3 linked regions of the Saccharomyces cerevisiae S288C genome follow. Changing the gene in region 3 together with the main gene of any one other region gives a genetic interaction. Each region holds a gene or a part of one and is shown on either strand. Other genes may lie near its edges. The genes, in order: ROD1, GRR1 and HXT3.

What was found.
Region 1: of HXT3 (region 3) and ROD1, changing one suppresses a phenotype caused by changing the other (phenotypic suppression), as found in Saccharomyces cerevisiae (one study listed by BioGRID).
Region 2: of HXT3 (region 3) and GRR1, extra expression of one rescues a mutant of the other (dosage rescue), as found in Saccharomyces cerevisiae (one study listed by BioGRID).

What each region holds. Positions count from the first base shown.
Region 1 is NC_001147.6:358,311-369,658, forward strand, and holds ROD1 (Rod1p), read left to right. Parts: upstream 1-6,058; coding exon 6,059-8,572; downstream 8,573-11,348. Other genes in the region: protein phosphatase 2A regulatory subunit RTS1, read left to right, coding at 1-1,637; YOR015W (uncharacterized protein), read left to right, coding at 1,683-2,042; ERP4 (Erp4p), read right to left, coding at 2,151-2,774; PET127 (Pet127p), read left to right, coding at 3,102-5,504; YOR019W (uncharacterized protein), read left to right, coding at 9,817-11,348. UniProt on the Saccharomyces cerevisiae protein: Mediates resistance to o-dinitrobenzene, calcium and zinc.
Region 2 is NC_001142.9:590,247-602,706, forward strand, and holds GRR1 (SCF ubiquitin ligase complex subunit GRR1), read right to left. Parts: upstream 4,082-12,460; coding exon 626-4,081; downstream 1-625. Other genes in the region: BIR1 (survivin), read left to right, coding at 1-336; JSN1 (Jsn1p), read right to left, coding at 4,815-8,090; BUD4 (Bud4p), read left to right, coding at 8,489-12,460. UniProt on the Saccharomyces cerevisiae protein: Substrate recognition component of a SCF (SKP1-CUL1-F-box protein) E3 ubiquitin-protein ligase complex which mediates the ubiquitination and subsequent proteasomal degradation of target proteins.
Region 3 is NC_001136.10:1,156,257-1,166,782, forward strand, and holds HXT3 (hexose transporter HXT3), read right to left. Parts: upstream 8,405-10,526; coding exon 6,701-8,404; downstream 1-6,700. Other genes in the region: hexose transporter HXT6, read right to left, coding at 3,352-5,064; YDR344C (uncharacterized protein), read right to left, coding at 5,750-6,193. UniProt on the Saccharomyces cerevisiae protein: Low-affinity glucose transporter.

The sequences.
Region 1 (11,348 bases), on a different chromosome or scaffold from region 3:
ATACTAGTAATACTCAGGATGCAAACCACGCCTCCTCACAAAGTATCGACATTCCGAGATCATCACACTCATTTGAGAGACTACCAACACCCACAAAACTTAACCCTGACACAGATTTAGAGTTAATTAAGACTCCCCAACGTCATTCTTCATCTAGATTCGAGCCATCTAGATATACGCCATTAACGAAATTGCCAAATTTTAATGAAGTTTCTCCTGAAGAAAGAATCCCTTTGTTCATTGCCAAAGTTGACCAGTGTAACACTATGTTTGACTTTAATGATCCAAGTTTTGACATTCAAGGTAAAGAGATTAAAAGAAGCACCTTAGATGAGCTAATAGAATTCCTTGTAACAAATAGGTTCACTTACACGAATGAGATGTACGCTCATGTGGTGAACATGTTCAAAATCAATCTGTTTAGACCTATTCCACCACCAGTAAATCCAGTTGGTGACATTTATGACCCAGATGAAGATGAACCTGTTAACGAACTAGCCTGGCCTCATATGCAAGCTGTTTACGAATTCTTTTTAAGGTTTGTGGAAAGTCCTGATTTCAATCATCAGATTGCTAAACAATATATTGATCAGGACTTTATTTTAAAGTTACTGGAATTATTTGATAGCGAAGATATCAGAGAAAGAGACTGTTTGAAAACGACACTGCATAGAATATATGGGAAGTTCTTATCATTAAGAAGCTTTATTCGTCGGTCGATGAATAATATTTTTTTGCAATTTATTTATGAGACTGAGAAGTTTAACGGTGTGGCAGAATTGTTAGAAATTTTGGGTTCCATAATTAATGGATTTGCACTTCCATTAAAGGAAGAGCACAAGGTTTTCTTGGTGAGGATATTGATACCATTACACAAGGTCCGTTGTTTATCATTATACCACCCTCAGTTGGCTTACTGTATCGTTCAATTTCTCGAAAAAGATCCTTTATTAACCGAAGAGGTAGTTATGGGCTTACTGCGTTATTGGCCAAAAATAAATTCCACAAAAGAGATAATGTTTCTAAATGAAATCGAGGATATTTTTGAAGTGATCGAACCGCTGGAATTTATTAAAGTAGAAGTTCCGTTATTTGTTCAATTAGCTAAGTGTATTTCTTCTCCACATTTCCAAGTGGCGGAAAAGGTTTTAAGTTATTGGAATAATGAATATTTCTTAAACTTATGTATCGAAAATGCCGAAGTCATCCTACCCATTATATTTCCTGCATTATATGAATTAACTTCTCAGTTAGAGCTAGATACAGCAAATGGCGAAGATAGCATTTCAGACCCTTACATGCTTGTTGAGCAAGCAATCAATTCTGGTTCGTGGAATAGGGCAATTCATGCTATGGCATTCAAGGCATTGAAAATTTTTCTGGAAACAAACCCAGTATTGTACGAAAACTGTAATGCATTGTACTTATCAAGTGTAAAAGAAACTCAACAGCGTAAGGTGCAACGTGAAGAAAATTGGAGCAAACTTGAAGAATATGTAAAAAATCTAAGGATTAACAATGATAAGGACCAATACACAATCAAAAACCCAGAATTAAGAAACAGTTTCAACACAGCAAGTGAGAATAACACATTAAATGAAGAGAACGAAAATGATTGTGACAGCGAGATACAGTGAAACAGCAATTCATTACAAGCTCGAAGAAGTGAGGAAGTTTAGGGCATGCCACATTTCAAAAGAGCAGCAGTATATGAAGAGCAAAAAAGAACTGGTAAATGGGGTCAACTTGTTGAAGAAACCAAAGATAGAATCCCCGAATATTCGAACAAAACTATAGCAAAGATAAGCCACTTGGACAATGGTTGTTTGTGGCCTGAGATAAAGGTCTCTTTTTCTCATCATTTGAGCATACTTCAATCGATGTGTCTTCATTTTATTATTTCTATACTTTTCTCCAAATATATCTTCGTTTTTCTTTTCGCTTTCCTTCTTCCTTCTGCCTTTCCTCTATTTATTTTGCACTCCACTCTTTTCCGTAAACCTTGCCTATCTATTATTGGATTTTTGAAAACTAAAGTATAAAGGTATGTCATAAATAATTAAATAACAAAAAAAATAGGATCATGATACAAAAAAGTGCCTTCCCCTTAGCACAGCTGATCCAACAATTTTAAGAGCTTGAAAAGCAACCTATACGTAGTTTTTTTGGCGACTGGTAAAAAAGAACTGAATAATTAATGCCTGCACTATACTGATACCAACCATTACCCCCATAATTAGTAATGAGAGCCATGTTAATCTTGACTCAGTAGAACTCACAGTATACATGTTTCTCCATTCTCTAGCCCTTAAATAATCCATTGTTTTGGTGATCTTATTCAGGTTCCTATCAATTTCCTCGATGGCGTTGTTTGCGATTATGTCCTCTTTGCTTTCATGGGAAGAAACAATTTCCTTTTCCTTTTCGAGGGTGATTTCAACTTTCTTTGGGGAAGTGCCGTAGTTATTACTCAAACAGAAAGTGTACTTACCTATACCAAACGACTTCAGTAGAAAATCAGAATGCTTCTTTTGTCTTTCAGTGACGATAACAGAGCCATCAGGGGCGGTAATATCGAAGTCTATCTCGAAATTCCCACCTGTCAAAACTTGGTAACTGACCACAAGGACATCTTTATCAGAGGATAAATCATAGTAAAGACATTCTTTGGTAAAAGCAGGTAATGATATGCCTACAGGAGCATAATTAGAGGAGAATGCATGTGTTAACAAAGATGAACTAAACAAAATCGCAATCAAAGTAAAAACGCGCATAATTCCTAGCGATGATTGGGAATATATATTTATGAAAAAACTTCACTAGCGCTCGTGAAACTACTTCAAAGGCAGCTGGGAAATAAATGTCTTCAAAGCAGAGAAGAGTTCCCAAATAGAATTCTCAGATCGTCAATCGCTCATCTTTGAGTATATCACGTCAAAAAACAGGAAACAGTGAAAAAAAAGTAGTCCATAATAAAGCGCGTTTCCGTCAATGCCGTTGGTTAATAAAGAAACAAATATGTAAAAATATAATATAAACAGGGCACTTGAGAGAGCACAAAAAAGAGCCAAACGCTACCTGATACTTTTATAGTTTTGATAATGGGGTTCTACAACTGTAGATTCCTGTCCAGACGTCTATCTGTTGAGCCTTGCAGAATAGGTAGCGCCGCTAAAAGCTATCAACAGCGATCGATTTATCACTTTGGCGCTGCTCTCACAAATGCCCCTAGTGGAAGAGAAACACCAGACAAGCTACGTTCTGACCTGCATAGTGCTTTAGAGATGGTCGATGAAATATATGACACAAATTCGACTGTAGAGGACATTGGAAACAAGGAAAAGGGAGGTCGACAAAAATATACGGAAGAAATGGACAAGGCGATTAATCTACTGAAAACAAATATAAAGAAGGAGTATAGACATGATAAGTATTTGGAGCGGACAAAGGTAGGAACGTATCCTGGTAGAAGAACATATCCTGGTAGGAGAACATATCCCGCTAGGAGAACATATCCCGCTAGCAGAACATATTCAGATAGCAATTCATACACTTTTCGGATAAATGTCCAGAAGATTAGGCACGCATTAGTACGTTACAATCAAGATGGTGTTCAAAAACACAACCAAAAGCCTCCTAGGATTGGTCATGGATTAACGAGAGTGTTATACCAACCGTTGTCGCTACAAAAATTGAGAGATAATAGGAGCAGAATGTATAATTTTGACCCTGCAGTGGAAAATATTAATCCAGAGTATTTGGAAAAGAAAAGTGAAAAAGATGTGAACACAGACTCCTCTGGAGAAGGACAAAGCAAGCCAATATTCATCACACCCCACAAAGATGAATCTCTGTTAAAGGTTGCCAAAGAACATAGAAAAAAGTACATATCTTCATCAAGTTCCATGACATCAGTACTTTCTCAGTTGCACTATTTATTATCCAATTTCAGAAGATTGAATATCATTGATTCCTCGATATCGAAAAATTTTCCTCAAAAAAACTGCAATTATTCAGAAAGTGCATATTTTCCGTCAGCAGTCATTCTGAGAAAGAAGAGAAATGGCATTTGTTCTATTGATTCAGATAGAAGTCTGGATAGGGAGATTGTGCTTTCTGTACTAGGTCATTATCTTGAAGACTTTTTAACGGAAAAGTCCCTGAAGAATAGTTCAAAAAGTGAAAATTATCACTATTCTAGTATAGATGAATTCATTGTGAGATCTCAATTGGACGCGTACGACCCAAATCTACCTGGAACGGGTGTATTTGATCTGAAGACAAGAGCAGTTTCTGCCATAAGATACGATTTATCACATGTAGAGAGTAATAACAACCAAACTGGATATGAGATAGATAAAGTTTATGGGGAATTTGAGTCTTTGGAAAGAGAATATTTTGAACTAATCAGGTCTGCCCTTCTAAAGTATTCTTTGCAAGCTAGAATTGGCAAAATGGACGGTATTTTCGTTGCATACCACAATATTTCTAAGATGTTTGGATTCCAATATCTACCTTTGGACGAATTAGATTATATAATCCATTCTTCGTATAACAGCAAATTCGACAGTTTGTTAAAGGAGAAGAATGATATCACAAAAGGGATATATGGTGAGGAGGACTACATTCTACACTATGACAGGGACGATAGGAAAATTGCTTGCTTGGTGGCTAATAGGGAATTTAAGATGTCTATGAATCTGTTCAGTAATATTTTGAAACACGTTGAGCAGTTACTTAACTCAAGTAATACGAAATGGGAAAAATGCAAAATAATGCTTAAAACCGAAGTTGAAGAAAAACGATCCAAAAGTGGCCGCTTCTTTAACGAACCGGTGCTAAATATTGTAGCCCTGCCGTTGTCACCTGAGTACGAGGATAAATCTTTATTGGTAAAGGATACTTCGAACGAACAATTAACAGAGGAGCTACTAAACCTCCGCTCATATAACGAAAATCTTTTGGAGGAACACCTGAATTCCTTAGTTGGATTTAAAGTAAATGTCAAGCATTTCTATCACCATCATCCTAATACTACACATCTACCTGATTTTGCTTTAAAAAAGAACGATATTCTCGACACCGAATCCCGTAAATATATTTCTGACATGATGAAACGAGACTGGTACAAAGATATACCATCTACACAGACTCCAAACTTTTTCCACGCTTCCGATGTTTCCACTTGGGAGGTGAACTCTACTTTTACAGATATCAATGACAAACAAATTTTACGAAAACTATACTTTAAATATTTGGATGTTAAATTAAACGCATTGAAAAATCAAGTAATCACACGTCAGGAACCTGATATGTCTAAAAAGGATGAAATTATGAATCGAATCAAATCACTACAAGCCCGCAATGATCACCGCGATAATGGAAGTAACAAAAGATATTCTAATTTTGGCCCTACCCGACTGCAAACTAAACTGCGCGCATATGCTAAAAAAGGTGCCCTTCGAAGAAAACTATTAGAAAGGAGTAACAAGTTCCATATCTAGAAGACAGTAGTCAGCGTTGGGCAATCTAATGTTATAGGTGAAGTTTTACTACTTTAATGTATTCACTCACAACTTTCGACCTTATGTAATTATTCTATGTATTTTTAGATATGTCCATACAATGCATTATTCTTGTAATTATAACACATATTAATTAAACAATGGGTCAAAAAGAGTCGAGTCCCTTGGTACATATTATGTTACATTACTGATTAAGTTGAATAAAAGCATCTAACTTTAAGGAATCTGCTTTATTTTGAAGACCGAAAACTACGAGTAAAAATAGGAGTTTTAATGCGGATGAATGTCTAACCCCAGAGATGGGTTCTCCGATAAAAACTGAGAAGCTTCCTGTTCACAGTTTTTATAAATTATTTTGTATGGCTGGGCTCTTGCAATTTTCAGCGTTTTTTTATTAAGCGAAAAAAACAGAACAGGGGTCCCCTATTCAAATATAGACGTCAAAAAGATGCAGATCTAAAACTAATTAACAACCATACAGAAATCAACGCGATTTCATCACACCATTCGCTTCTCTTCCTCCATAAGTAATAATGTTTTCATCATCATCTCGACCTTCAAAAGAGCCATTACTATTTGACATCAGACTTAGAAATTTGGACAATGATGTTTTACTGATAAAAGGCCCCCCTGATGAGGCATCTTCTGTCCTACTATCTGGAACTATAGTATTGTCAATTACTGAGCCAATTCAAATCAAGTCTTTGGCTTTGAGACTTTTTGGTAGGTTGAGACTAAATATTCCAACGGTTTTACAAACTGTTCATGGGCCGCATAAGCGATACTCAAAGTTTGAGAGAAACATATATTCTCATTTTTGGGATGATTTTAATATAAAAAGTTATTTCCAAAACTTGTACGATAATCATAATAATGGTAAAATAACAATTTCTAGTAAATCCTCAACAAATTTAGCAGCATTGCCAAAGAGAAAAAGAGCCCTTTCTACTGCATCATTGATATCAAGTAATGGGCAGACAAGCGCAAGCAAAAACTATCACACCTTAGTAAAAGGTAACTACGAATTCCCTTTCAGCGCGATTATTCCTGGGTCATTAGTGGAAAGTGTAGAAGGCCTACCAAATGCTGCCGTCACTTATGCTCTGGAAGCTACTATCGAGAGACCTAAGCAGCCCGACTTGATCTGTAAAAAACATCTAAGAGTTATTCGAACGTTAGCTATAGATGCAGTCGAGTTATCTGAAACAGTATCAGTGGATAACTCATGGCCTGAAAAAGTCGATTATACGATCTCCATTCCAACTAAGGCAATTGCCATTGGCTCTTCCACCATGATCAATATTTTAATTGTTCCTATATTAAAAGGATTGAAGTTAGGCCCTGTTAGGATCAGTTTGGTGGAAAATTCCCAGTATTGTGGTAGCTATGGAGGGGTTATCAACCAAGAAAGAATGGTGGCTAAATTAAAACTAAAAGATCCCCTGAAGCACGTTGCCCAAATAAAGAAGAAGAGGAGCCTAAATGAAGCTGCCGACGAAGGGGTTGATACGGACACAGGGGAATTTCAAGATAAATGGGAAGTTCGAGCTTTATTAAACATACCTGCAAGCCTGACTAAATGCTCCCAAGACTGTCGCATTTTATCTAATATCAAAGTCCGTCATAAGATCAAGTTCACTATAAGTTTACTCAATCCGGACGGTCATATTTCAGAATTGCGTGCGGCACTGCCTGTCCAATTATTCATTTCACCGTTTGTTCCAGTCAATGTAAAGACCTCCGATGTTATTGAAAGAACGCTCAAAACGTTTGGACCCTCATATCAAGTAACAAGTCAGCACGATAATTCATTCAGCAGCAAAAACTTTGTAGACGATAGTGAAGAAGATGTGATTTTTCAAAGATCTGCTTCTGCGTTACAATTGTCTTCAATGCCAACCATAGTATCTGGCTCTACTTTAAATATCAATAGTACTGATGCAGAGGCTACCGCAGTCGCTGACACAACTATGGTAACTAGTTTGATGGTACCTCCCAACTACGGCAATCACGTTTACGATCGAGTGTATGGCGAGGTAACTAATGAAGACGAAACTTCAGCATCAGCTTCTTCAAGTGCCGTCGAATCACAGGCAATTCACAATATTCAAAACCTATATATATCGGATAGTAACAATAGCAATAATCCTATTTTGGCACCAAATCCTCAAATCAAGATTGAAGATGATAGCCTAAATAATTGTGACTCTCGAGGGGACAGCGTTAACAATAGTAACCTGAATCTGGTTAATAGTAATCTAACAATTAGTGAAAATTGGAACAATAACTCTCCTTCTGCAAATAGATATAATAACATCATTAATGCTGGATTGAATAGTCCTTCACTGACACCAAGCTTTGCACATTTATCTAGGCGTAACTCATATAGTCGCCAAACATCTTCTACATCGCTGAAGAACGATTTGGAACTGACAGATTTAAGCAGAGTTCCCTCGTATGATAAAGCAATGAAATCTGATATGATTGGTGAGGATCTTCCACCGGCTTATCCCGAGGAAGAACTTGGAGTTCAAGAAAATAAAAAAATTGAACTAGAAAGGCCACAAATTCTTCATCACAAGTCTACATCCTCTTTGTTGCCACTTCCAGGCTCGAGCAAGAGTTCCAATAATCTGAAAAGATCGTCTAGTAGGACACATTTATCCCACTCTCCATTACCAAGGAATAATAGCGGATCCTCAGTATCATTGCAGCAGTTGGCGAGAAACAACACAGATAGTTCATTTAATCTAAATCTCTCTTTCACTTCAGCAAAAAGCAGCACAGGAAGCAGACATTTTCCGTTTAATATGACAACATCTTTCACTAGTAATTCAAGTTCCAAGAACAATTCACATTTTGATAAAACTGATTCTACATCTGACGCTAATAAGCCAAGAGAAGAGGAAAACTATACGAGCGCAACCCACAATCGAAGGTCACGCTCATCGTCAGTTCGGAGCAACAATAGCAACTCACCATTAAGACAAGGAACAGGTTCATTTGCTAATTTAATGGAGATGTTCACAAAACGGGATCGCTCATAGACTGCTTTATTTTTTGTCTTCGAAATTTCGACAAAAAGATATGAGCAATACTTCATACACGTTTGTACAGTTAAGCATATATACTTTGATAGAGTACTTTCATACCTCATACCACTTGAAAAATGATAATATAATGTTATAATACTACCTCATAATTGCTATAAAGTAAAACAATTCGGCGTTGTAGTTTATGCTTCTATAATCACAAAAAAATTTCACTGAAGTTGTCAGATTCTGCCGCAAGGCTTCTCATAGATTTTGTTAAGTGGTCTTACTCGGTTTTATGGCTTGAAGGTTAACATAATTATGAAAACTTATTGATATCCTCCCCACCCCTAACGTTTTAAAAATGATCTCGTCCAATATGTTTGAGGTGAATAATATCGGACCAGTTCTTGTTTTTAAAAGATAAGAATTGCTCATATTTCCCATACTTGTTGGAAAATTTCTCTCAACAATTGTATGAAGGCAAAATCCCTCAATTGAAACATTAAAATAGTGATTAGAAAAACAGGATTAATCAGTTATACGAACGTATTTTTGAGAGAATATAATGAGAATACAATGAGCTTCAGAAGATCTGTTTTTCTTTACTTGGCACTTCTTCCTCAACAATTATTGGCACTACAAAATTTTCTAATTAAATGTTAAAGATCCCACAGACATCATTCGTATATATCCTCCCATTTTATACGGTTAGCCAACTTTGCGATCCTACGGAAATTGCTATTTTTATAGTCAACTCATTGATCTCGAGCACAGCTGCTCTTTTCTCTCAATGAATTACGTTATATGTTAATCACACAAGCATCAGTTTTTCATCGCAAAAGAAAATATTTAGAGTTCTTGCAATTCAGATGTACCTCAATTAATAACTCAATCACCTCCTATGTTCTTGCTGGTAGTACTGCTTTTGTCTTAATTACTGCTGAATCAGCCTTCTAGAAGACCGTTCTGTTTCAGCCGCTCGCCCCTTTTCAAAGCTTGCGCGGCTGAGTTTTATGAGGGGCGGCTTTTTTGTGAATGGCAATCTACCATTATTAGTAGCAATATGATTTGCAGATAGATACATATATATCCTTCTGGGTTCATGTCTCGTTACCATCCACACTAATGCATAGGACCAGAAAGAAAGGACATCGAATCCAACACGTATTAAAATAAGGACTCCTCATTAAAAAGGCTTTTAATATTCAACTTGCTATAGATCACGCACCCTTTTGGCAAGTCAACCTTAAATTATTATGATTTCTGTTTGCCCACAAAATGACTTGCAAAAATGCTACAGAAGCCTCACATTCGATGTTCCAGGACAACAATTCGAAGAGAGAAATGAACAAAACCTTAAAAAACGGGCCAAAAAGAAAGGCAGTTTCCAACCATCTGTTGCCTTTGACACAGTGCCTTCCACCGCTGGTTATTCTTCTATAGACGACAGCAGGGAAGGATTCAAAGGTGTACCTGTTCCCAACTATTACACGATGGAAGAGTGCTATGACGATGAAACAGACTCTTTTTCGCCAAATTTGCAATATTATTTGAGAGATACATTCCAATCATCACCTTTTCTGAATACTAGAAAAGAGAACAAATCTGAATCCAGTAGTTTTCCAATGAGATCCTCAAAGTTGTTGGAAAAGAATTCTGACATCAAAAAATATTTCTTGGTATCCAAGAATGGAAAAATAGTGAGGAGAGACTATCCAAGCACGCCAGTAATTGTCAACGAAACGTTGATGATAAACAGGTTTGAAAAGAACTGGATAAAGTTATGGCGCCAAAGAAAACTACAAATAAATGAAAGGCTGAATGACAAAAAAAAATGGTTTACTTACCCAGAACTTATCTTCTCTGAAGAGCGTATTAAACCGTTATATAGAGGAGATGATAGTGCACCATGTACAAAAGAACAAAAAAGAAAGCATAAAATACTTCAACAAAAGGTCGGATATCCCAATAACCCTAAGACAATAGTTTGTCACATTAACGGAAAAAAACATACGTGGGTTGCCCTAGACTGGACAGTCTACAAGTTTGCACGAAATCTTGATCACATTGTTGTCATAACTACACTGCCAAAAATGATTTCTAACAGGAAAAAAACTGCAAAAGATGATACAGAATGGGCACCGGGATATCAAAAAGAAGTAATAGATCAAAAATTAAACGACATTTTTGATTATATTTTACAGCTAGTAAAAGTGGTCAAAATATCCGTCAAAATTACTTTAGAAATAATTGTAGGCAAAATTAAAAAAAGTCTGGTAGATGTCATTAATGTCCATACTCCAGATTTCTTAGTTCTTGCTACTTTAAAGCACGAGCGAAATGAGAATCTTATTACATATAAATCCAAAAAGCTGACAGATGTCTTTCCTGTTAGTTATCCGATTCCCACATTTGTTGTTCCCTCGAAACGAATGTATTCGTTCGAACTGAATCTACAAAGAGAAGTAAATGAACATTATGTCTCAAAAAATCATATGAAGCACGAACACACTGACGTTGAGAGCATGAGCAGTTCAATGTTCAAAAAAAATACAATATCAGATATTTCTTCACATATTTCCGTAGATTCGTACGCCGAAGATTTCAAAAGGCAAGGCTACATCAAAAAGCAGTTCAACACCTCTAATGATTCCATTCCAAGAAAATTGACCGGTCTCGCCCAGCATTCAAGAAGGAAGATCACGGGTGATATAGAAAAATTACAAGACGATGAGAAAGATAGAGAATGTACTAAGGAAAAACTTTTGTTGAAGAAAATTGATATCAT
Region 2 (12,460 bases), on a different chromosome or scaffold from region 3:
GCAGAATGGTTTAAAATTGATGAAAATAGACACCTTGTAAAAAATTACTTCCATGATTTGTTAAAATATATAAATAATAATGATGCTACGCTAGCTAATGACAAAGACGGTGATCTGGCTTTTTTGATTAAGCAAATGCCTGCAGAAGAGTTGGACATGACATTCAACAATTGGGTGAACCTAAAAGTGCAATCTATTAAGCGCGAATTTATAGATGACTGTGATAAGAAATTGGACATATTGAGAAGGGATTACTATACTGCCACAAATTTTATTGAAACTTTGGAAGATGACAATCAATTGATCGATATTGCTAAGAAAATGGGCATTTTATAGCTAACTAATTTGATAAACAGGCTAAAGGTTTGTATTTTTTGTAGTTTTGAAACTGTGTATAGAATGTTTCGCCGCATCGCAGATATCTGCAGGGAACTGTTGACATAGCATCTTCTGTGGACGTGACAACGTTACGTATATTCGTTGATACCGCAAGTCTATAGCGTATACATGCTAAGGCAAAAAGTTTCAAAGTGAATGCATTATGTATTTATATGTAAATAAGTAAGAAAAGTGGGATTTTGAAAATAAAGGTGTAGTAGGACAGTAAGTATTCAATGAAATACAATTATAACATATCTTCATCGGGCGTTCCTGATGCTTCATCCATTTGAGAATCAATGGCAGTGTCAGGCATTGATTCGTCAATTGTGTTGTTGTTATTGTTCCTAACCATGTTCTGATTACGAAGTCCCATTTGGAGATTCCTCATCTGGTCAGGTGATATTTGCATTCTATTGCCAAACTGACGCCAGAAATTTGGATTTTCTGTTTCATTGTCATCATTACCATTGTTAGTTTCATTGTTACTTGTATCGTTTGCCCCAGCATCCGATACAATATTCACTATGTTGTTGGCGTTCCGGTTGGCGTCATTGTCATTATTGTTATTCCATGCTGATCTTTGGTGGGCTATTAATAGTTCTCTTTGTCTGGTTAACAATGTTATGTTATCTTTTAAATATAGTCTCAAAACAACGGTGGAGAGCTTGTACTTCTGAACCACCATAATGAATTTGTCAATGAATAAAAGTCGCCATATTAAAAGCCCTTTTTGGTAATCTATGTTGCCCGATTCCTGAACCGTTTTTTGTACTAAACAAATTTGTCTGTTTAATTCAATCATTTGCATATAGGTTTGAGTCATTTCATGAAGTAAAAAACCAGTAAACTGAAACTGAACTCTTACCAAACTAGCAACATTCACCTCGAAATCATCAATATGATCATTTAACTCATGGAATTTTCTAACAATATGACACATTTCACTGTTAATTTCCCGGTTTACACCAGGTGCTACGACATAATCTTGATCATCGTCCACATCACTAAATGGATCTTCACAAAACGTCTTGTTTACTTGCAATAATAGTGAGTTAACTTCCTCCGAGCTCATCCTAATGCCATCAAAAGTATTGAGATACCAACTGAATACTTCATCTATTCGTTCAAAATTGATATTCTGGAAAAGAAAATCGTTATTTAGACCGTTGATTTGATTTAATCCTGTAGCAGCTATAATTGCAGCGGAATCTTGATTTAAATCAGTTATGATTCTCCTAAGAGCATCTTCAAGTGTTTCACCGTTAAATATCAAATTCTTGGATCTAATATATTTTGTCAAAACATCATTTACATCGACATGTGGTCCAAAAGCGGGCGACGTTAAATTTACTAAATAATGGCGAAGTTTATGAACACCTTTCCCTGAAAATACGCAGAATATTTGACGTTGATTTTCACTAAAGTCTGAGGGTGCAGGCCTGCAATACATCGTTATATCGGGGCGTAAAAATGACGGAACAGCAGTCAAAGACAAATGTGAGAGCCTTGGGCAAGACATTAGAAGCTCATATATCGGATATATTGTTAAATTAGAACAGTAAGATAAATGTACCCTTTCTAAAGTATCATTTCGGCCTCGCAAGGAAACCATATTCAACAAACCCTCGTCAGTCATTTGCGTACATTTGACAAGGCCAATTCTCTTTAATTTTGGTAAGTCTGCTAGTTCATAAAGAGTTCTATTGGTTAAATTCGTACAGCACGCAAAGTCCACATACTGTATTCTTGTACATGAATGAAAGAGTGCTCTTACCCCGTTATCAGTTATATTGAAACAGTGCCCAAAATGCACTGTTTGCAAGTTTTTGCCCAGCTTCGATAATTGGAACAACGATGCATCTGTAATTCGGCTACACTTGCCTAGAAAAACATTACGTAATTTAGGGGCTAAATTGACTATACTTTCTATAGTTTTATCTGTAATATTTTCACATCCAGAAAGATCAATCAATCTTAAAGAGGGCATATCGTCAACTACTTTAGAAAGCTCCTGGAAAAGATTATCCGTAATATTCGTATTATGAGTTATTCTGAATTCCCTCAGCTGAACTAACCTAGTGAGGAGTTTTAACAAACTAGAATCAGTGACATTTGGACTTAATGTTATATCGACCTCTACAAGCAAAGGGCATTTGTTGGCTAATAGTTCTACTAATTCGTCATTCATGTTATTGTTTGCTGTGATTTTTATTCTTTTCAACATCGGGGAATGGACTATGAAATTCCGCAGTGAATCGAATGTTACATTCCTTGCCTGAGGAACATAAAAGCCCTGTACTCTGGGACAATATGTCGCTAAGGTATCAAATACGTCATCGGAAACGTCTCTTATTCCAGTGATATCCACACTTTGGAGAAATTTACATCCTCTCAAAACAGCCGATATTGGAACACTGGTTATATGCTTGCAAAATACTAAAGTTAGTCGCTCCAAATTCTTACATCCGACAAAATAGTTAAGCTCTGTATCGTGCATGTAGTCACCAACAAATGAAAAATTTAATCTTTTGATCATTAAACGATAGTTGAATACAGTTTCTTCAGAAGTTAACTTCATAGTCCTTAAAAACAAGTCTAATTGACTCTTTTTGTTGATGTGCGGTCTGTAATAAAGTATCTTCACAATTATTTCAGCCCAGAGTTTGGAAACGGTAAGGAATTTTACAATATCATATTTTTGGTTAAGTTTATCTAATATTAAGTGTAATATTTCCGAGGGTAGCATGTTTAGGGCAAACACAGGTGATCTTCGGGTGACACTCGTACATATGTTTTGATTTGATGGATTCGAAAGCACATTATTTATGAACTGCCTTGAATATCTCGAAAGATCTTGTAGCCCTTCTTTCAAGTCAGATGATTCAGTAGTATCTATGGAGTTTATCCAAATGATGAAATTATCTGTTGGATTTTCCACTTGTTGACCTCTTAGCTTGGAATGGCAGTATGCATATAATGACTTTTTGTACTCTTCTATAATTGTTAATATTTTTAGCCTTAAATTTCTAATTTCCATGTTTTCTGTCTCTAGCGCCCTAAGCCTCATTCTTTGTAATTTATGCAAATAACTAATTGCTTGTGGGGAGTTATCAATACGTAGCTCCTTTAGTTTAAGGTTGTCTAGCTCAATTTCGTTCAGTATTTTTTTTCTACGTTTCTCTATAACAACCAGAAACTCTTGGATTTTTTTGCCCACTATTAGCTTGAATTCGTGGATTTGCTTCCGTTCTTCCTCTGGTAGGTTCGGTAACAATCGATTAAGTTGATCTATTTGAACATTGACACCATTCATAAGGTTTGTGTTCACAGTGTTTATGTCAATCCCGTTCAGCGCATTTGTTTGCTGTTGTGGTTGAAATGTCAGCGAAAAGTTTTGATTTAGCGGTTGTCCGTTGTTGGTTGGCAAAAGCGTTTCCCGTTGAATACTATCGAACCTAAAGATATTATTTAGCGTTGCATCCCTAACCTCACTTGCATTTCTTTCCGAAGTTGCCGTTTCTCTAGTTCGTGATGGCATTTGTGGTCTTGTGCTATTATTATTGTTGTTGTTGTTGTTGTTGTTGTTGTTGTCGTCAAAATCACCGCTACTATTCAGCCACAATTGAGGGCCCAAATTTGGATGTATATCAGGTGGGTGCAGCCTATTGCTGTCATTGTGGTTGTTGTTATCCTGATCCATTATAGACCTTCTTAGTATAAAGGAAACCGCAAAACTGTTTAGCCTCACTACCAATGATAATTATTGTGCCGAAATCAATGAGAAATTTCAAGATTTCACGCAGGTGTAAGCTTAAATGCAATGCCTTAATTTTTGGGCTTCCCTGCTAGTTGGACACAAGTACGATTTTGATATTCAAAAACCGGGCTTCTAAGAGAACGATTAAATGAAAACGAATTATTGTGTAAAATCGAAAAACTGGTGAAGTATGGACAAAAGAAAGTAACACACAGGCACAGTTAAATTTGGTGTTATGTATTTTGCCACGCCTTTTTTGATAATCATATCACTAAATTTGTTAAAAGGCAAATTTTAAAACAAGTTCCTTTACCAAGGAAGGTCCATAGGCGGGTAACCTCAGTAGTAATGAAAGCCTAGTAATGATGACTATAAATGTTCATTAACACATCTGGGTAATAAATGATGATATTTTTAAAAACTGTATAAAACTTTATGGATTTATTTAATCATGATTAGGTGTAGAAAAAAAATTTGGCGATATGATGGCTTGAAAAAGACACGTCTTCCCAGTAATGAAAATGCCCAAATTCTTCATTAGCTCGCTCATATTCTATTAGGATTTGAACCATAAAACCGTTGGGGGTAAATGAGATAGTTTTGAATGGATGCAGGTATGAGAAGAAAACGGCGTGGTCTCCCAATGATGACGGAAATAAAAGAAAACATGGGGACGTCAGTTTGCAGAGTGTAAAGTCAGAGTTTCAAAAACGGTGTTATCGTCGTTATAGTTCGTGTTGTTATTATTGTTGTTGTTGTTCGTATGAGGTTGTGAGGAGCCAACATTGTTTACTAATTCCATAGTAGTGTTGTTATGGTTAGTTAGGCTCAGTTGTGGCAACGATAAACGGGTTCCGTTATTAAAGTTTAGCATATCAAACTGGGAACTTAAGTCATCGTTGTTCATAGCATATCCATTACTGGCGTTGCCTGAAAAGCCGCTGACAGGGAAGACGCCAGGATAACTAAAATAGCCCATTGAAGAATTAGAATTGGCATTCAATGGTTGGCCCGGGGATAATGTAGAGGCAGAAGAACCATTTGTAGTCGTGGTGTTCATTGTGGTATGTTTAGATCCACCACTTTTAACGCTAGAAACAGAAAGACCTCTCATGTGTTGTCCAGAAGTATCAGGAGTGGCGAACATGTGCGAAATGCTGCTGTTATGATGCTGCTGCTGTTGTTGTTTTGTCTTGTTATGAGTACTAGAGGGTGATGCCAACCCGACTTCTTCCAATAAACGGCGGCTTGGTTGGATTTGAGTAGAATCCGTCAATACTTTTCTGACTTGTTTAATGATGTGGGCTCTTAAGTCATCTTCTAATAATGGCATTGCTAAAACTTTATGGACAAAGGTTGGGCCATAATTTGTTTCACATAAAAGCTTTGTTAATTCCTTTGGTGGCGAAGAATCGTGTGCGTTCACGTTTCCAAATAGGGAATCTAGGATGATTTTTCTAGCGTTATCATCCCCTCTGTAATTCAAGACCTTCAAAATAGTCAAAGAAGCCAATCTGTGGCCACATAACTCTACAATTCTTTTCGTCAATCTTGGTGCCAAGATAGAATGTCTGTTGGGTAAAACACTAGTATCTAAAAACCACGTTACTAACAACGCACCATTGCTATTAGTGCTTAGATATTCAGCATATGTAACGATCATTGCACTCAAAACTATTGATTGTTCAGGAGTTACAATGTCATGTGCCTCTAAACAAGCTCTGACTGCCCTTGCACCATATCTATTCTGAACAATAACCCAAAAATTAGCTATTATACTTTCAAAAATAAACTGGTTCCAGGGGAATCCAAATTTCAAAACGCACTGTATGACATAATTTCCGAATTGGTCATTGATTAATGGAGTACAGTAGTCCTTGACCCCTTGCGTCACTTGCATGATTTGTCTCGGAGTATGCGCCATAGTGATCATCTTCTGACAAGCCCATGTTCCGTTTTTGTGAACACCCATAGAGGTTAGGTATTTGCTTGTTTTCCTCAGCATGATGTCTTTAATAATATCAGATGAATGTTCAAATAATTTTTGAACGATAGTGTTACCCAAGTAATCTGAACTCAATTCGGGCAATTCGTCAAGCATTGCAATAGCCAACTGTTCGATCTCTAAGTCGGAAAATGCGTTTGAATCGATTGATTTTCGCAATTCGCGTAATTTTGGTGGATCGAACTCCCTGCCAGACAATGGTTCTGGTAAAGGTCCAAAGTTTTGCGTATCGGAAGTGCCTTTGTGATTCAGCGATTTTTTTATCAACGAATTGATTTGGTATTCATCGGAATTTGCTTCAAAAAGTTCGATGATCTCTCTTAACAAATCTTCCTTTTCGTTAACGTTAGGTGGTGGTAGAGGGAAAGGACATTGTTCTTTTTCATTTGCTGAGTTATTGTTGTTTCCGTGCATACTATTGTTATTATTATAACCATGGAGAACATTGCTAAAACCAGCAGAACCCGAACTATGGTTTTGGTGCTGCGATTGTTGTGATTGCTGGTTAAATACAGGTATAGAAACATTTCCTTGTTGTTGGAAAGTCACAGCTCCATTGAATAACTGCTCCTGTAATAAAGGCTGTGGTTGCAAATTGTTGTTTTCTAAACCCAATGGCAAGCCTTGAGAATTGAGAAGAAATTGTGGGGGTTGTTGATGCATAGGTAAGATTTTGGCAAATGAAATTTTACTTGGTGCTCCAATCATAGATACCTCCTTGCCCTGTAAACTATCTAAGGCTTTTACGGCACTTTCCACGGAAGAAAATTCAACTAAAGCCATGTTTAAATTCCTTAAAGTCCTAGCAGATATGACTTCACCATATTTGGAGCATAGGGTTGCCAAGGAAGTACTTGTTAAGTTTATCGCGTTATTTAATTGTGGCTGCTGGTGCTGTAGGGGAAAAACGTTGGAAATAGAAATGGTATTTGTGGGTAAAAGGTTCGATATTTGGTTTATTGATGGTACAGTGGGGTCCATTGTTACCCAATTGATGGATTGCGGATCTATTTCATCAGCAATCAATGGAGATTCCTGTGTTGGAATAGTATAGTGCGATGAAATACTGGCACGAGCGGGCTGTTCGTACAGTGGAGCGTCGGTATATATGCTAGACGCGTTGGATTGAGATCTCTGTCTGGTATTTGACCAAACAGAGTTTGGGATAGCCAAGTTATTCGTATTCATCTTATTATCTGCCATTTGGCTTCCACTAGTAGATACCATGTTGTCAAAATATGCAGTTTTTGTCGAATAATCGTTGAGCGTGTTTGAATTAGTTGTATTATTGCTTGTCGTAGGTTGCAATTGTTGCAAAAGGTGCTGTTGCATGGGATCGTTCGCACTAGCATTTGAAGACCATATTCCGCTCGAAGTACGAGGCTTGGGGGCGATTGATGAAATGGAAGTTATCTGAGAAGACATTGTGTTGTTTCTCGTCCTCGAGATCTGATGTGGCAAGTTAAACGAGTCGCTAGATCCTCGGGGGGCAGGAATTAAGAAGTTATTACTCGAGTCAGGAAAATGCACCAATTTTTCCATGTCTTGAGGAGGGGTTAAACTGCCAGGTCTATCCATAGTTACACCGTCTATAGAACTTTCCATCATCTTACTCCTGGAAGGGCTGGCCCTTGGTGTCTTGGACGCCACCGTAGATTGGGAACTGTTGTTGCTAGAGGAAAACTCAGCACCGTTCTTTCCGTGACTATTTTTCTTCGAATGGTGTAACTTGGCACTGATGGAGGGCAAAAGGTTACTCAATGTATTAGAAAATTTTCCTGCTCGCGACCTATATGATCCAAGCTTTTGGGGTTGTTGCTGCAGTTGGCTATTACTCTCTCCATTGTTCTCGTATTCTTCCTCGTATATTGGGATAGTGATGCCAGGGTCAATCACCTCGGGGATGTTGGACAAGTTGTTGATGTTCATCTGCTTACTTTTATCCATCTTAAGAAGGAATAAATAGACGTTCACGCTCTTTCTCACACATACACACAAATCTCTCGAAGTGCCTCTTATTGTTTTAACTATTCATCTCTATGCGCCATTGGTCATCCTACGAGAAACGCCCCCCTTTGTCCCAATAATTGTCGGCGGGTAATTTGTCCAAATGAAAAAGAGACATTGTCGCGAGGAACGAATAGATGACCCGATTTGGAAAAAGGTAAACAACAATGAAATATTCCTCGAGAAAACAATAATGTTTATTTATGCAAAGGAAACACTTAGAAGGGAACATCTCCATTCACTAAACTTCGTTGGTTTGGTGTATATTTCTTTGATTCAGTCTGTGCAAGAAGAATTTTTTAGTTCATTAAATTATATAAAAACAAAAGTACAGAAGCATGCACGACGCAGAGAGTACCGTAGATTCTCTACTGAAGGAGATAGACAATGAAATGGAACAAACAAAGTCTAATATCACGCAAAATGGTTCCGAAGATACACCACACAACTGGAAGCTTCCGCTGCAGGAAATAGGCGATGATACCATGGAAATGTTGGTCAAACACAATACTAGGTCGAATGCTACAGAAAATAGTAGAGGTCGATCACCTTCTAAGATGTCTACCATCTCAAATGAAAGCCTTAATTTGGGTCTCTTACGTGTAAATTCGGAACTTGAAGAGTCTCCAGCCGCTGTGCATCAGGAACGGATTAAAAACTCTGTTGCCAACGGGGCACTTGGTCATGCCAATTCTCCCAAAGTGCTTAATAATCTGAAAAATATGGCACAAGATATAGATAAACTAGCCCGTGATGAGGAAAAGCCCGTAAAACTTAGCAGCTCTCCCCTTAAATTTACTTTGAAATCGACTCAACCACTGCTGTCGTATCCAGAATCGCCCATCCACAGAAGTTCTATTGAAATTGAAACGAATTACGATGACGAAGATGAAGAGGAAGAAGATGCATACACATGTTTAACACAGTCACCTCAAATATTACACTCTCCATCAAGGATTCCAATAACTAACGCAGTGTCGATTAATAAGCTCAATCTTGATTTCACATTGAATCCCAACGAATCAGACAAAAGTCTAGTATCTGACACCTCAGTTGATAGCACAGGACGAGAACTAGATACGAAAACAATCCCAGAATTACCATTTTGTATGTCATCAACGCCCGAAATGACGCCAGTCGATGAGAAATGTAACCTTCCAAGTAAATTGTTGAACACTAGTAACAATTCACATTCTGATTCAAGATCGCCAACAGCCTCTGTGGAGGATTTAAACATTTCAACGAATCTGCCGGGTGCTGATTCCAGCCAAAATAATCCAGTCACTACTGATGCGGATGCGCTTATTGAAAACGATGTTGTGCGGGACCTTCAACAGAATATGGAACATATCGATGATGCTTTTGATGAGAAAAAAGTTCTTGACGAAGGTTGCAGCAATGAGCCCGTTACCTTTTTGGGTGAAAATGACACTAGGTCCATAGTATACTCTAATAAAGGGACCAATGCTAATGTTCAAGAATTTTCACAGGAAGATTCTCTAGCGCACAGTGAACCCAAATTCAAAGATCTTAATGCTACATCGGATGACGTATGGAATGAAGACAAAGAAACAGACGCAAATATTTCAACATCTACAAAGTCAGAGGAAAGCTACATTGCTGACTATAAAGTAACGAGACAAGAAGACTGGGATACCAAAAAGCTTCATCAAGAAAGTGAACATGCAAATGAACAACCGGCAATAATTCCTCAAAAGGATTCTTCAGAAGAAACATTCACTGAACTAAATAATGAAAGTGAATTCCAAAGGAACTTTAAGGATGGAGAGGAATACCGAATCGTTCAACACGAGGAGAGCCTGTATGGACAAAGAACAAAGAGTCCAGAAGAAAATATAATAAATGGCAGTGAAATTGGTGTCGACCATGGAGAGGCCGCTGAAGTGAATGAACCATTGGCAAAAACTTCTGCAGAAGAACATGATCTTTCATCATCATGTGAAGATCAGTCGGTGAGCGAGGCTCGTAATAAAGACAGAATTGAAGAGAAGGAAGTTGAAACTAAGGATGAGAACATTGAAACCGAGAAAGATGAAAGTGAGTACCATAAAGTCGAAGAAAATGAAGAGCCGGAACACGTTCCCCTCTTACCACCCCTGCCAAGATGGGAAGAAATTCAATTCAACGAGCCATTTATAGATGAAAATGATACCTCCAATGATTCCATCGATTTAACCAGATCCATGAAACCATCAGATTACATTTCTATATGGCATATCCAAGAAGAGGAAATCAAATCCAATTCACCAGAATCCATTGCCAACTCCCAATTTTCACAACAATCCTCGATTACCACTGCATCTACGGTCGATTCTAAGAAGGATAATGGATCAACTTCGTTCAAATTCAAACCTAGAATAGTGAGCAGGAGTAGGATTTACAATCCAAAAAGCAGAGTATCCTCATTGAATTACTACGATAATGAAGATTACATTTTAAGCAACAGTGAATGGAATGCACTCGACCCTATGAGAAGAAATACACTCATCTCTAAAAGGATTCAAGATAACATAAGAACTCAAAAGGGTCACGCTCCACTTATTAGGCCAAGCATCATGAAACTTAATGGCGAAGATTCTGGTTTTCAGAATCATTTCTTGGAGGTAGAACAACCGCAAGAACACGAAAATATCCCATTAAGTACGCACCTAAGCGAACAAGATATCACAACAAATGTAGGCCTCGATGAACAGAAATTACCAACCAATACCCAGGACGAAGCTGAAATTTCCATTCGGGAAATAGAGAGTGCGGGTGATATCACTTTTAATAGGGGCGATTTACTATCTTTATCCTTTGATGAGGAATTGGGTCAGGATTTTGCTAATTTTCTAGACGCTTTGGATCATGACTCCACATCTTTCAATCATGGGCCGGATGATTCATCCAGTTTTCAAAGAGACAGTTCAAAGAAAAGCTTCAATTCTCTTTGGGAAAGCAGTTACGAACTAAAACCGCCACCTTCCATAAGAAAGCAACCTATTGCCCCCGACGTCCTGCAAAAATTATTAGAATCAGATACTAAAGATGACGCAGATTTGGAAAAAATTAGAGAAGAGCGTATAACTGAACCAAGGACTGGTTTGGGGATTGGAATGCTGAAAACACCAGTTAAGGATGTTTCAATTGCGCTAGCTGCAAGCATTAAAGGATATGAGGCAAGTTTCAGCGATACTGACTCTCGTCCAGAGGGCATGAATAATAGTGATGCCATCACTTTGAACATGTTCGACGATTTCGAAGAAGATAAAATGACCCCTTCCACTCCAGTTCGTAGTATAAGTCCAATAAAACGGCATGTTAGCAGTCCTTTCAAGGTCGTGAAAGCTGGAAACAAACAAGAGAATAATGAAATAAACATTAAGGCTGAAGAGGAAATAGAGCCAATGACGCAGCAAGAAACCGATGGTTTGAAACAAGATATTCCTCCACTGCTAGCGCAGACAAAAGATAACGTCGAAGCAAAAGAAGAAACGATAACTCAACTTGAAGAACCACAAGACGTTGAACAAGAATTTCCGGATATGGGAACACTTTATTTAAGTATAAAGGCTATTTCCACGCTTGCATTATATGGAACTAAGAGTCATAGAGCAACATATGCTATTGTTTTTGACAATGGGGAAAATGTCGTTCAGACACCCTGGGAGTCGCTTCCGTATGACGGTAACATCAGGATCAATAAGGAATTTGAATTGCCCATAGATTTTAAAGGAAAAGCCGAAACATCCTCCGCTTCTTCTGAAAGAGATAGCTACAAAAAATGTGTTATCACATTAAAATGTAAATATGAAAAACCTCGACATGAATTGGTCGAAATAGTAGACAAGGTGCCGGTGGGTAAGAGTTTTTTTGGAAAGACAAAGTATAAATTTGAAAAGAAGTATGTACAGAAAAAACCTAAACAAGATGAGTGGGATTATCTATTTGCACAAGACGGTTCATTTGCTCGTTGTGAAATTGAAATTAATGAAGAGTTTTTGAAAAACGTGGCATTTAATACCAGTCATATGCATTACAATATGATTAACAAGTGGAGTAGAATCGCAGACAAAATTCACGGCTCAAAAAGGCTGTACGAGTTACCACGCAAGGCGCCTCACAAAGTGGCTTCGTTGGATGTGGAAGCATGTTTCTTAGAAAGAACTTCTGCCTTTGAACAATTTCCCAAACAATTTTCATTGGTCAATAAGATTGTTTCCAAATACAAGTTGCAACAAAATATCTATAAAGAAGGGTATTTATTGCAGGATGGTGGTGATCTGAAAGGAAAGATAGAAAACAGGTTT
Region 3 (10,526 bases):
AGAAGCAAATGTAAAAGATGAACCTCAGAAGAACACGCAGGGGCCCGAAATTGTTCCTACGAGAAGTAGTGGGTCATAAAAAGTTTATTCCCTGGAAAAAAAATTTTGCGTTGCCTTTCTGGAGAATTTTTTCGAATTAGCGTGCTGCCACTGCATGCATTTCTGAGAAGTGTGGGCATTCTTCCACCAGTTGTTCCTCCTAAAAAAAAAAAAGATTTCCTACCCCGCACAAATTCCTGCATACCCCTCATTTCCACGGGGTAAAAAAAAAACATCCCGTAGCAGCCTCTGACGGAGCCGTATGGAACAATCCTGGATAAATATGGCGGAAAAACGGCTCTGGCTGCGGCTTTGTTTAAGGCAGAAACTAGATGAGATGTTTGTTGTTACGGAAAAAAAAATTTGTTGCGCTTTCTGTAGTGGGATTTGTCCTCATAACTTCTCCATGAAGGGGCCATTAAAATCTAGCCCTCTAGTAAAGCGTTATGGGAGCACTCTTGCGGCGTTCAACGGTGCTGCTTTTTCACTTTTACAGTATGATATGTCTTTCACATTGGGTTTTAGCTATAATTAGATAAAAATATTTTAAGTTGCTTTTGAAGTGTTTAGTAGGGCGTGTTTAGCAGGGCATGCTTAACAACCCCAAATGATCTTAGCGATGAGAGTACTATTTTCTAGGGTTGTTTTGTGCAGCCTGTTAATGTAGACATCAAGAAATTAAATGCGATCTTAATTCATTCGGAATTTCTTTTCACCGTGTGAATGAAATTTTTCGAGATGCTAAGTATAATAAAAATAAAAAAATAAAATCGCTTTTCTTCTAGAGAATTTTTCCGTGAGAAAGTAAAAACACATAATACTAGCTTAATAAACTTTTCTTTCCACCACCCATAGGATACGCTAACAATTTTTGCTGTCAACTGCTTGCCATTTTGTTTTCTTCCGACTACTATCACTTAGGGCTATTGGCAGTATATGCGTAATTTTATCAATTACCATACTTGTCAAACATAGATCAGGAAAAATATTAACGTTCCTGTCAATCTAAGACTTGAAGATTACAGGACTTTTTTTTTTCTTACTGTATTTTTCCGTAGAGTGCACCATTCGGCAGATGGATCGCGGGGAAATTGAGAGTTTATGCAAAAAAATCCGAAGGTGGAATTAAATGGGTCCCGCTTTGGAAAGCCCCGGATTTAATCCCCCATTAAGGCAAATTACTCCTCATCCTAGGTGGAGAAAAGAACCGGAAAAAAATGCAGTACCTTTTTTGTTCCCATTTCTTTTCCAAGTAAACAGGCGGAGAATCAAGCTGCTGCAGTTAGTTCTCAGAGTTCACTTAACGTTCTCCTGTAATAAACATAAGGAACAACCATCACCCCACACTTTTATCTCTTCCTCACTAACATTGTGTTAGCTTGCATGTTCTTTGAGACTAATGACCGATTGTTTGATCTCTTCTTCCGATTATTGCTGGTCCGATCCCTTGAGCATCGAAAACCAAACGACTGTTTAAGATCTGTAATTGATTAAGACCCATTGGCGATTACTCACTCATCGGCAAAAAAAAATGGTCTGAACATGCGTTGAAAATTTTGCTCCCATGAGATTTTTTGTCTCATGTAGTAATTATTTTATTTCTTGAGCAATCTGAGCTTCAACAAGACAGAAAACGAATATGGCAACTGTTATTTCGTTATATAGTGTTGCTGGTGACCGAACACAAAAATGATCTTAGAATTGTAACTCAGGGAGCATACGAACAAAAGATTATTAGCATTTCGTACTTTCTAAAAGTTGAAGAAGTTGGCATTTGTTGATTTTATCATATCCTTAATAAAAAGTTGACGTCAGCATACAATTTGAAAATAGCAATATCGAATGCCTATTCCTCCTTTCGTTGTTTGAGTTTACCTAATATATCGATGCATTTTTGCAAAAGTGTGGTATTGAGCACGCGGTACTAGAAGGAAAAATCTCTTCTTTTTACTACGTGTCCTGCATTTCTATCATGGTGAAGATAATCATTATTTTATGTCAAAAATTACTAGTTAGCTGTCAGAATTTTTTGTTTAAACATTGTTGAATTCCTGTCGCAGGTTAAAGAAATCGAAAAATAGCCAATGAAGTAGACAGAATCATTTGACCAGTTAGGTAAATTACTGTGTCAAATAATTCAACAACGCGTTTCTACGTGGTGGGCAGAAGTCCCTGGAATACTTTAGTGATGGTACACTTTTCGACATTAGAATTGTCTCTGAATTGTCACCCCGCTAATAAGTTATTTGTATGGACGCCAATAAAACCATACAAACGCGGCTTTCTGGTACTGCGTTTAATCTTGCATGAACTTTTCCGTCCATTGGGGCGAATATTCACTGTGCGATGTATACTACCTTTTTAGCTACTGAAGCCACTCTTAAAGCATGATTTTTTTCCTTCCTGCCATCTAAAGGTTACTTACGGCAACCTTTCCATAAATTGTTGCTGAAATAACATATAATAGTACCAAATGGGCCTATCAATAAGTTTACAGCCTACAAGATTTTCTTCCACTAAAATATATTCGAATAGGACTTTGGCCAAAAACTGTTCATTAAGGGGCAGACTGTTCATGTTTTCTCGCAAATTACCTTTTTAACAAGGTGAAATTATTTTTTTTGGGGAATGCTAACTGTTTATCATCTGCCAGGAAAGAAAACTTAGATCCTCTTTACCAATCGCCGCCAGTAGTACATCATTTCTTATTAAATAAAAACATTTTCATATCATTAACCCTTTTTCAAACATATATGGGATGTAGTTTGCCAAGGATGATCATAAAGGCCTAATATGATCCCCATTTTCTTTTTATTACCAAAAATTCAGGTTTATTGACAAGCCTTCTCTACTCTGTCGCAATGCCAGTTTAACATTGAGGAGTTTAGTAGCTTCATTGTAATGAGGTGACTCTATTTAATTTCAGGTAGAAAAGCGCAGTACCGAGGTGAGCCCTGCATATGTACACTGATTGTGAAAAGCTCCGGCTCATAATTAATTTTTTTGATGAATTATAGAGTACTTTGTTTATAATAGAAGACTTTTTTTTTCCTCCTAAGGTAGCTTATGCGAGAAAGAGCGCCTACTTCGCTTCTAGCGCTACAAAACAATAACTTTGAAGGGTAAAGCTGTTAACTTTTCTTCAAAGCTTAGAAAAGAAAAAAAATTAATAAAAAATTATACTTCTATTGGCAACATCTTGCCATACAATATAAATCGTAAGGGTTCATTAAAAATATAAAATCAGAATTAGAGTGCATTTCAAATGCACAAATTAGAGCGTGATCATGAATTAATAAAAATGTTCGCAAATTATTTGGTGCTGAACATTCTCTTGTACAATGGCTTATCATCGTGAGCCATTTCTTCAGCGTCGTAGTTGGCACCTCTTCTAGATGGTGGAACCCATGAGGCAGACTTCCATGGTAGAACACCTTCTTCCCACATGGTGTTGACTTCTTCCAAAGTCAAACCCTTAGTTTCTGGAACAACTAACAAAACATAGAAGAACATGAAGACCAAACAGCCCATGAAAACGTAACCGTAGTAGAAGTTAATAGCACCAGTAATAAATGGAGTGAAGAAACCAATCAAGAAACCCCACAACCAATTAGCAGCTGTAGCAATAGACATAGCCTTAGACTTGACTCTCAATGGGAAAGTTTCAGAAACAACGACATAAGGAATTGGAGCCCATGTAGTAGCAAAACAGAAAATATAGAAACAGGCAAAGACAATCATACAGTTACCAGCACCCTTGGAAGATGGTTGGTCTTGACCATTTGGCCATAATCTGGTGACACCCACGGAAGCATAGACAACCATACAAGCAGTCATGGATGCAGCACCCCATAGCAAACAAGTACGACGACCATATCTCTCAACAACGTAAATACCAACAAAGGTGGAAGCAAAGTTAACAATACCCAAGACAATAGAGGTTTCGAAAGAGTCACTCAAACCAACAGCCTTGAAAATAGTAGTACCATAGTAGAAGAAATAGTTATCACCTGTCAATTGTTGTAGAGATTGAATCATAGCACCCATGATCAAACGCTGAAGGACCTTTGTCTTGCTACTAAACAATTCACCCCAGGATGCATTACCAGCTAATTTCTCTGCCTCTACACCAGCCAAGACAGCTTCGACTTCAGCCAAAACAGATGGATCATCAACAGCAACCTTGTTAGAAACGGCAATAGAACGTTTGGCTTCTTCGATCTTACCGACTTCAGCCAAATAACGTGGAGACTCTGGAACAAATGTCATACCACCAATCATAAACAAAGCCCAGGCAAAACACAAACCTAATGGAACTCTCCATTGCACAGAGTTGGAGTAGTTCTTAGTACCGAAGTTGGTACAGTAACCCAAGAAAATACCGGCAGTAATCATCAATTGGTAGCAAGAGACTAAAGTACCCCTTAAATGCTTTGGGGATACTTCAGAAATCAACATAGGAGATAAAACGGCAATACCACCAACACCCAAACCGGAAATAATTCTACCGATGAAATATTGGTACCATTTGTTGATAGATGCAATTTGAATAATAATACCGATGATGTAGATGACAACAACGACAATCAAACCCACCTTACGACCGTACATATCACCCAATTTGGAAAGAATAATACCACCAATGGCACAACCAATGTTGAAAATGGAGACAATCAAACCAGTTCTAACCTTAGACAAATAATTAGTACCATCTTTATGCTTCATACCAAATCTTCTGATGAAATCGGTTTGATTGATGAAACCAGAAATGGTACCAGTATCCCAACCGAAAACGAAACCACCAAAGGCGATCATGATACACATAATAGAGACAGTGACATAGGCAGAAGCTGGTCTCTTTGGAATTTCAACGACAGGTTCGTGCTCTTCACCTTCACCATAAGCTTTTATTTCATCTCTTTCAGCCTTGTTTGATGGTGTAGATAAAACCGAGTGGGAGGCTGAGTCAACAGCAGAGAGATGCTCCACAGGAGTTTGCTCTGCAATAGCAGCGTCTTGTGACATTTTTTGATTAAAATTAAAAAAACTTTTTGTTTTTGTGTTTATTCTTTGTTCTTAGAAAAGACAAGTTGAGCTTGTTTGTTCTTGTTTTTTTATTATTAAAACAGAAAAATTGGAAAAAAGAAGAAGATAGTTACAAACCATATGTCTTTTCTCGAGCTCTTTTTATATGTTTCTGTGCTTTCTATATTGTATACCCATTTGCTCTCCATTGTCTGCAAGCCAAAATCTGCATACAGATCCGAGACATCTCTTGGATTTTTTTCAATGAAGGCACGGAGGGCATCTGAATAATCTCAATGAGTAAGAAACGAAATTTTTTAAGGAACATTTTCAATTTGCCTACGGACTATTCTCTGCAAAGTTCCAATAATTTCTCCTTTTTTTCCAGCGTTTAAAGGAAAAAAACTGGTTTTCGATGCCGGGGCCCCACAATGTACCTGCACTTTTTGTGGGGTAAACGTGGATAAAACGAATCTCCGTTGCCTAAAAAACATTTTTTTTCGTACGGTCCCCTCTGCGTTCAGGAAAAAAAGAGATCGGGTGGTGAGGCTAGGTAGCGTAGCCCCTTGGAGAAGCATATGAAACATTTGTCTTGGCGCCGCACACAGGAACTGCGCACTTCTTTTTGTCCTAGGTTGCTTATCACACCATATGGTGCACCCGTGCTCGTTGTCACTGCCTTTTTTTAACAATTCTTCCTTTGTTCCTCTGAAAGCACGGGCCGGCGCACTCCAATTACCCCTACATTAATTTCCAAGTAGTAGCAGGGGGATGAACATGTGAACATGTTGCAACAACTGCGGTGTCTTCTTAGGCTTGTGTTCGGAATTTCTTCCTCCTGTTTCGGTGTGTGTTGCTTATTTTTTCCTTGCCCCTTTGCGGCATCACAGCAGCCGTTGTTCCGTATTCCGGCTGATAAGCATGGAAAGATTTTCCAACAATACTCATGAAAAAATGTGTTGGTGTCTGAGTAAGCTAAATTTTCCCAAATTTGATGCCATTCAACCCGAAAACTTAAAATGTAAAAGGGGTTGAGATAGTGCAGCTGTGTGGCAAAAGTCAAAAAAAATCTGTTCCTTTCAAGGAAATGAAAAAAGGAAGGAAAAAATGTCCAGGACAGAAAGGCCATCCCCTTAGTAAAGAAACCTGCTTAGAGATTCTTGAGGCTCGAAAATGGTTGGTGGTTGGACTTCTTTTGAGTTTTCCGTCCGGATTTCAAACGAAATCCATCATCACGTTCCTAGCAACAAGAGGATTATTGGACGATTGTCGGGAGTAAAGATTACTCAGTTGGTTTTCTAACTCTACTGCGCACTTCTTCGTGGGTATAACAAATTGCACACACATACATTCTTATTATTTGATACTGCTTACGATAACCGGAGACTTCTTTTTTTTCCTGTTCGGCTCTCGCCGATGGTATGAAGTTAAATGGTAGAAAAATTGTTTGTTTTGTTTACAAACTGGATCAAGAAATGTTAAAATTCTGTTTGATATCATGTACCAATGTCTTTTATTAACTGTATCAGAGAATTATATATATAAAGTCATAAATCTTGTGTATTATTTATCATTATTGACTAGCACATCGAATCTTAAAATACACTATTATTCAGCACTACGGTTTAGCGTGAAATTATTTCTTGCCGAACATTTTCTTGTAGAATGGCTGGTCATCATGCATCAATGCATCAGCATCGTAGTTAGCACCTCTTTGAGATGTTGGAACCCATGAAGCAGACTTCCATGGTAGAACACCTTCAGCGTACATATCATTGACTTCTTCCAAAGTCAAACCCTTAGTTTCTGGCACAAAGAAGAAAACGTAGAAGTAGGCGAAAACCATACAGCCCATGAAAACGTAACCGTAGTAGAAGTTAATAGCACCAGTAATAAATGGAGTGAAGAAACCAATCAAGAAACCCCACAACCAATTAGCAGCTGTAGCAATAGACATAGCCTTAGACTTGACTCTCAATGGGAAAGTTTCAGAAATAACAACATAAGCAATTGGAGCCCAAGTGGTAGCAAAACAGAAAATATAGAAACAGGCAAAGACAATCATACAGTTACCAGCACCCTTGGATGAACCATTACCTTCACCATTTGGCCATAGTCTGGTGACACCAACAGAAGCGTAAACTACATAACAGCAGACCATACCAATGGCACCATATAACAAACAGTTACGACGTCCAAAACGATCGACAGTGTACAAAGAACAACAAGTAGAGAAGAAGTTGACGACACCGAAAACAATAGAAGTTTCGAAAGAATCACTCATACCAACAGCGTTAAAAACGGTAGTACCATAGTAGAAGAAATAGTTATCACCAGTCAATTGTTGTAGAGATTGGATCATGATACCCATCATAGTACGCTTAAACATGGCCGGCTTACCAGTGAACAACTCACCCCATGATGCTGAACCAGCAGCTCTAGCTTCTTCAACACTAGCTTCAATAACTTCCAACTCTTGTTGAATGAATGGATGGTCTGGGGCAACCTTGTTAACTTTGGAAAGAGATGCTCTTGCTTCGTCAATTTGACCAGCTTCAACCAAATAACGTGGGGATTCTGGAACGAAAGTCATACCACCGATCATAAACAAAGCCCAGGCAAAACACAAACCTAATGGAACTCTCCATTGCACAGAGTTGGAGTAGTTCTTAGTACCGAAGTTGGTACAGTAACCCAAGAAAATACCCAAGGTAATCATCAGTTGGTAACAGGAGACTAAAGTACCTCTCATTTCCTTAGGAGCGACTTCAGAAATCAACATAGGAGATAAAACGGCAATACCACCAACACCCAAACCGGAAATAATTCTACCGATGAAATATTGGTACCATTTGTTGATGGATGCAATTTGAATAATAATACCGATGATGTAGATAACAACAACGACAATCAAACCCATTTTACGACCGTACATATCACCCAATTTAGCCAAAATAATACCACCAATGGCACAACCAATGTTGAAAATGGAGACAATTAAACCAGTTCTAACCTTAGACAAATAATAACTACCATCTTTATGCTTCATACCGAATCTTCTCAAGAAATCAGTTTGGGCGACGAAACCAGAAATGGTACCAGTATCCCAACCGAAAACGAAACCACCGAAGGCAACCATAACACAACAGATAGACACAGTGACATATGCACCTTTACCTGTATTTGGGTTGGTAAGTACTTGGTCGGCCTCAGCTTGGAAATCATCTTGAACACCTTTTTCTTCAGGCATGTTCATTACCTGAGAGCTATTCGAAGGCAGGTCAGCATTCGAATTCTCACTTGACTTTTGTGGAGATATTAAATCTGGAGTTGAATTCATGATTGTTTAACTCAGATGTAAATTTTGTTTGTGATTCTATTATTTATGAAAAGCTATTAAGTAAAATTATGGAATATTCATGCTGAAGATAAAACAGCGCCTGTATTTATATGCAACCCCCAAGCGAAAAAAAACTTTGACTTTTCTTCTCTTCTGGAGAAATTCTCTGGGGATATAGTCCCCAGATTTTTTGAGTGGGCCCCCAATGTCCCACATCGTTATTGAGTTGTTTCTTTCTCCAGAAGGTCGTTGTACAGTCATTATAATGGCGGTCAGTATAATGACCTCCGGAAATACCAACATCGGGGAAAGCGGAAAATCTGGAAAAATTCTCCACGAAGCTTTCTCTGTGATAATCCGCGACCGAGAGTTTAACCGAATCCGCGGAACGAGATATTCCGTGTTTATTGCGGTATTATATGAGCCGGACGAATCCGGAAAAACTACGTGACAGGAACGATGACCGGGCAGCAGGCGAAGCTGGAAGAATATAGCTAAGAAAATGCGCACGGAAAAAAAACACTCCCGAATTTCTCCGTGAAAAGAGCCTACTAGGGGATAATAGTAGGTATCCGTTAATATTACCGAACTATTGAAAACCTACCAAATGCAAGAAGATGCAAACGAGCTAGAATGTTCCGCGAATAGCTCATCTTACAATTTTTTTCTTTTTTCAAGAAAAAGAAAGTATTTTTTTTTCCTTTCATTTCATTGCTCCTCCTCCAGGTGTTATCTCGAGAAGATGAAGGCTGTCTGCGATGACGAATAGGAAAGAAAAAATTTTCCTTAATTTTGCTTGCTTAATTCTTATACGAATAATTCTTCTTAATCAACATCGGGCTTCATATTTACCAACACGCATTATTGATTAACAATACTTGCCTTAGGTTGAAATTGGACGCCGGAAGAGAATTTATAGCTAGTCAGTGTTCTTCGGCGTAATTTTATTAATGGACATACAGTGTACTTTTCAAACTACACCGCCATTTGATATACCGGTGTAATTTTTGATGAAGTGTCAGAATTAGCCGCACAGTTAATTGAACACTTCGCTGTAAGGTGTGGATACAGATTAGATAAGAGCATTAGGCACCACATTTCTTCAGGCTTTTCCTGATGCTGGTTTGGATATTGCCTTCATCCCGCACCAAAGCTGGCGTCCCGCATGAGGAAAATGAAGAGTTGTAAGCAGCACTAAATTCCGAAATTAAAGGGCGGGCGGATGCCACCAGTAAAATATTCTTGATCAATCTTTGATATTTTCAAATGATCTCCCATTGTAATCTGAGAACTGCTCTTGTTTGGCTACGTAAGGCAGTATGAGGGTTGTAGTTAGTAGTAACCCTGTCTAAGATTCCCGGTGCTATGTACTTCTCTCACAATAATACAAGTAGTGAATGTCACTTAATAAATTTTTGTAATAAAAAGTCTACAAAGTTTGTTTGTGACTTGTCGAAATTCAATTCTGTTGCTTTCATTTTTCTGTAGAGAAGAAATAATATTCCGACAAAATGTAAATAAATATGCTAAAGTGGGTTACGACAAATTTCTTGAGAGCCATTGATTTTTGCTATAGAGGCATGAAAGCATACTGCACACACATCCAATACTTAACTTTGGCAAATGAGGAGCCTAATTACAGAGATAACTTCAAACTACATAAAGAACCAAGATACTAGTTAATGGAACGCCTAGACGATCATGCTTAACTGAACGAAAAGTAACTAATGAAATACAAGTCTCTTTTCGCCGAAATTTGAATTTAACAAGTCTAGTATACCCATTGTTAGTGCATTTCTCCGTGTTTTGAGACGCTTTTTTTACATGCTTCTAAATAAAGGCATCATCCATGCTCGGCAGCCGTAGAAAATCATTAGCCCCTAACTTCCAAAAATAGACTGCGCGCTACGTGAGACGCTTACTTCAGCTGTAGTATCCTAACGTGAAGGTTTTTTTAATTTACCCCATAAGGATCGCGTCAATAGGATCGTTTCCATTTTCCGACTTTGCAGATTAGATGGATCCCTAAAACGAAGTGCATAGTTGCGGTATTTTGTATTTGAGCCATTTAAAATAGTCTGGAAGGTTTTCTTTTTGATTAAATACATTTGGTGTTTCATTA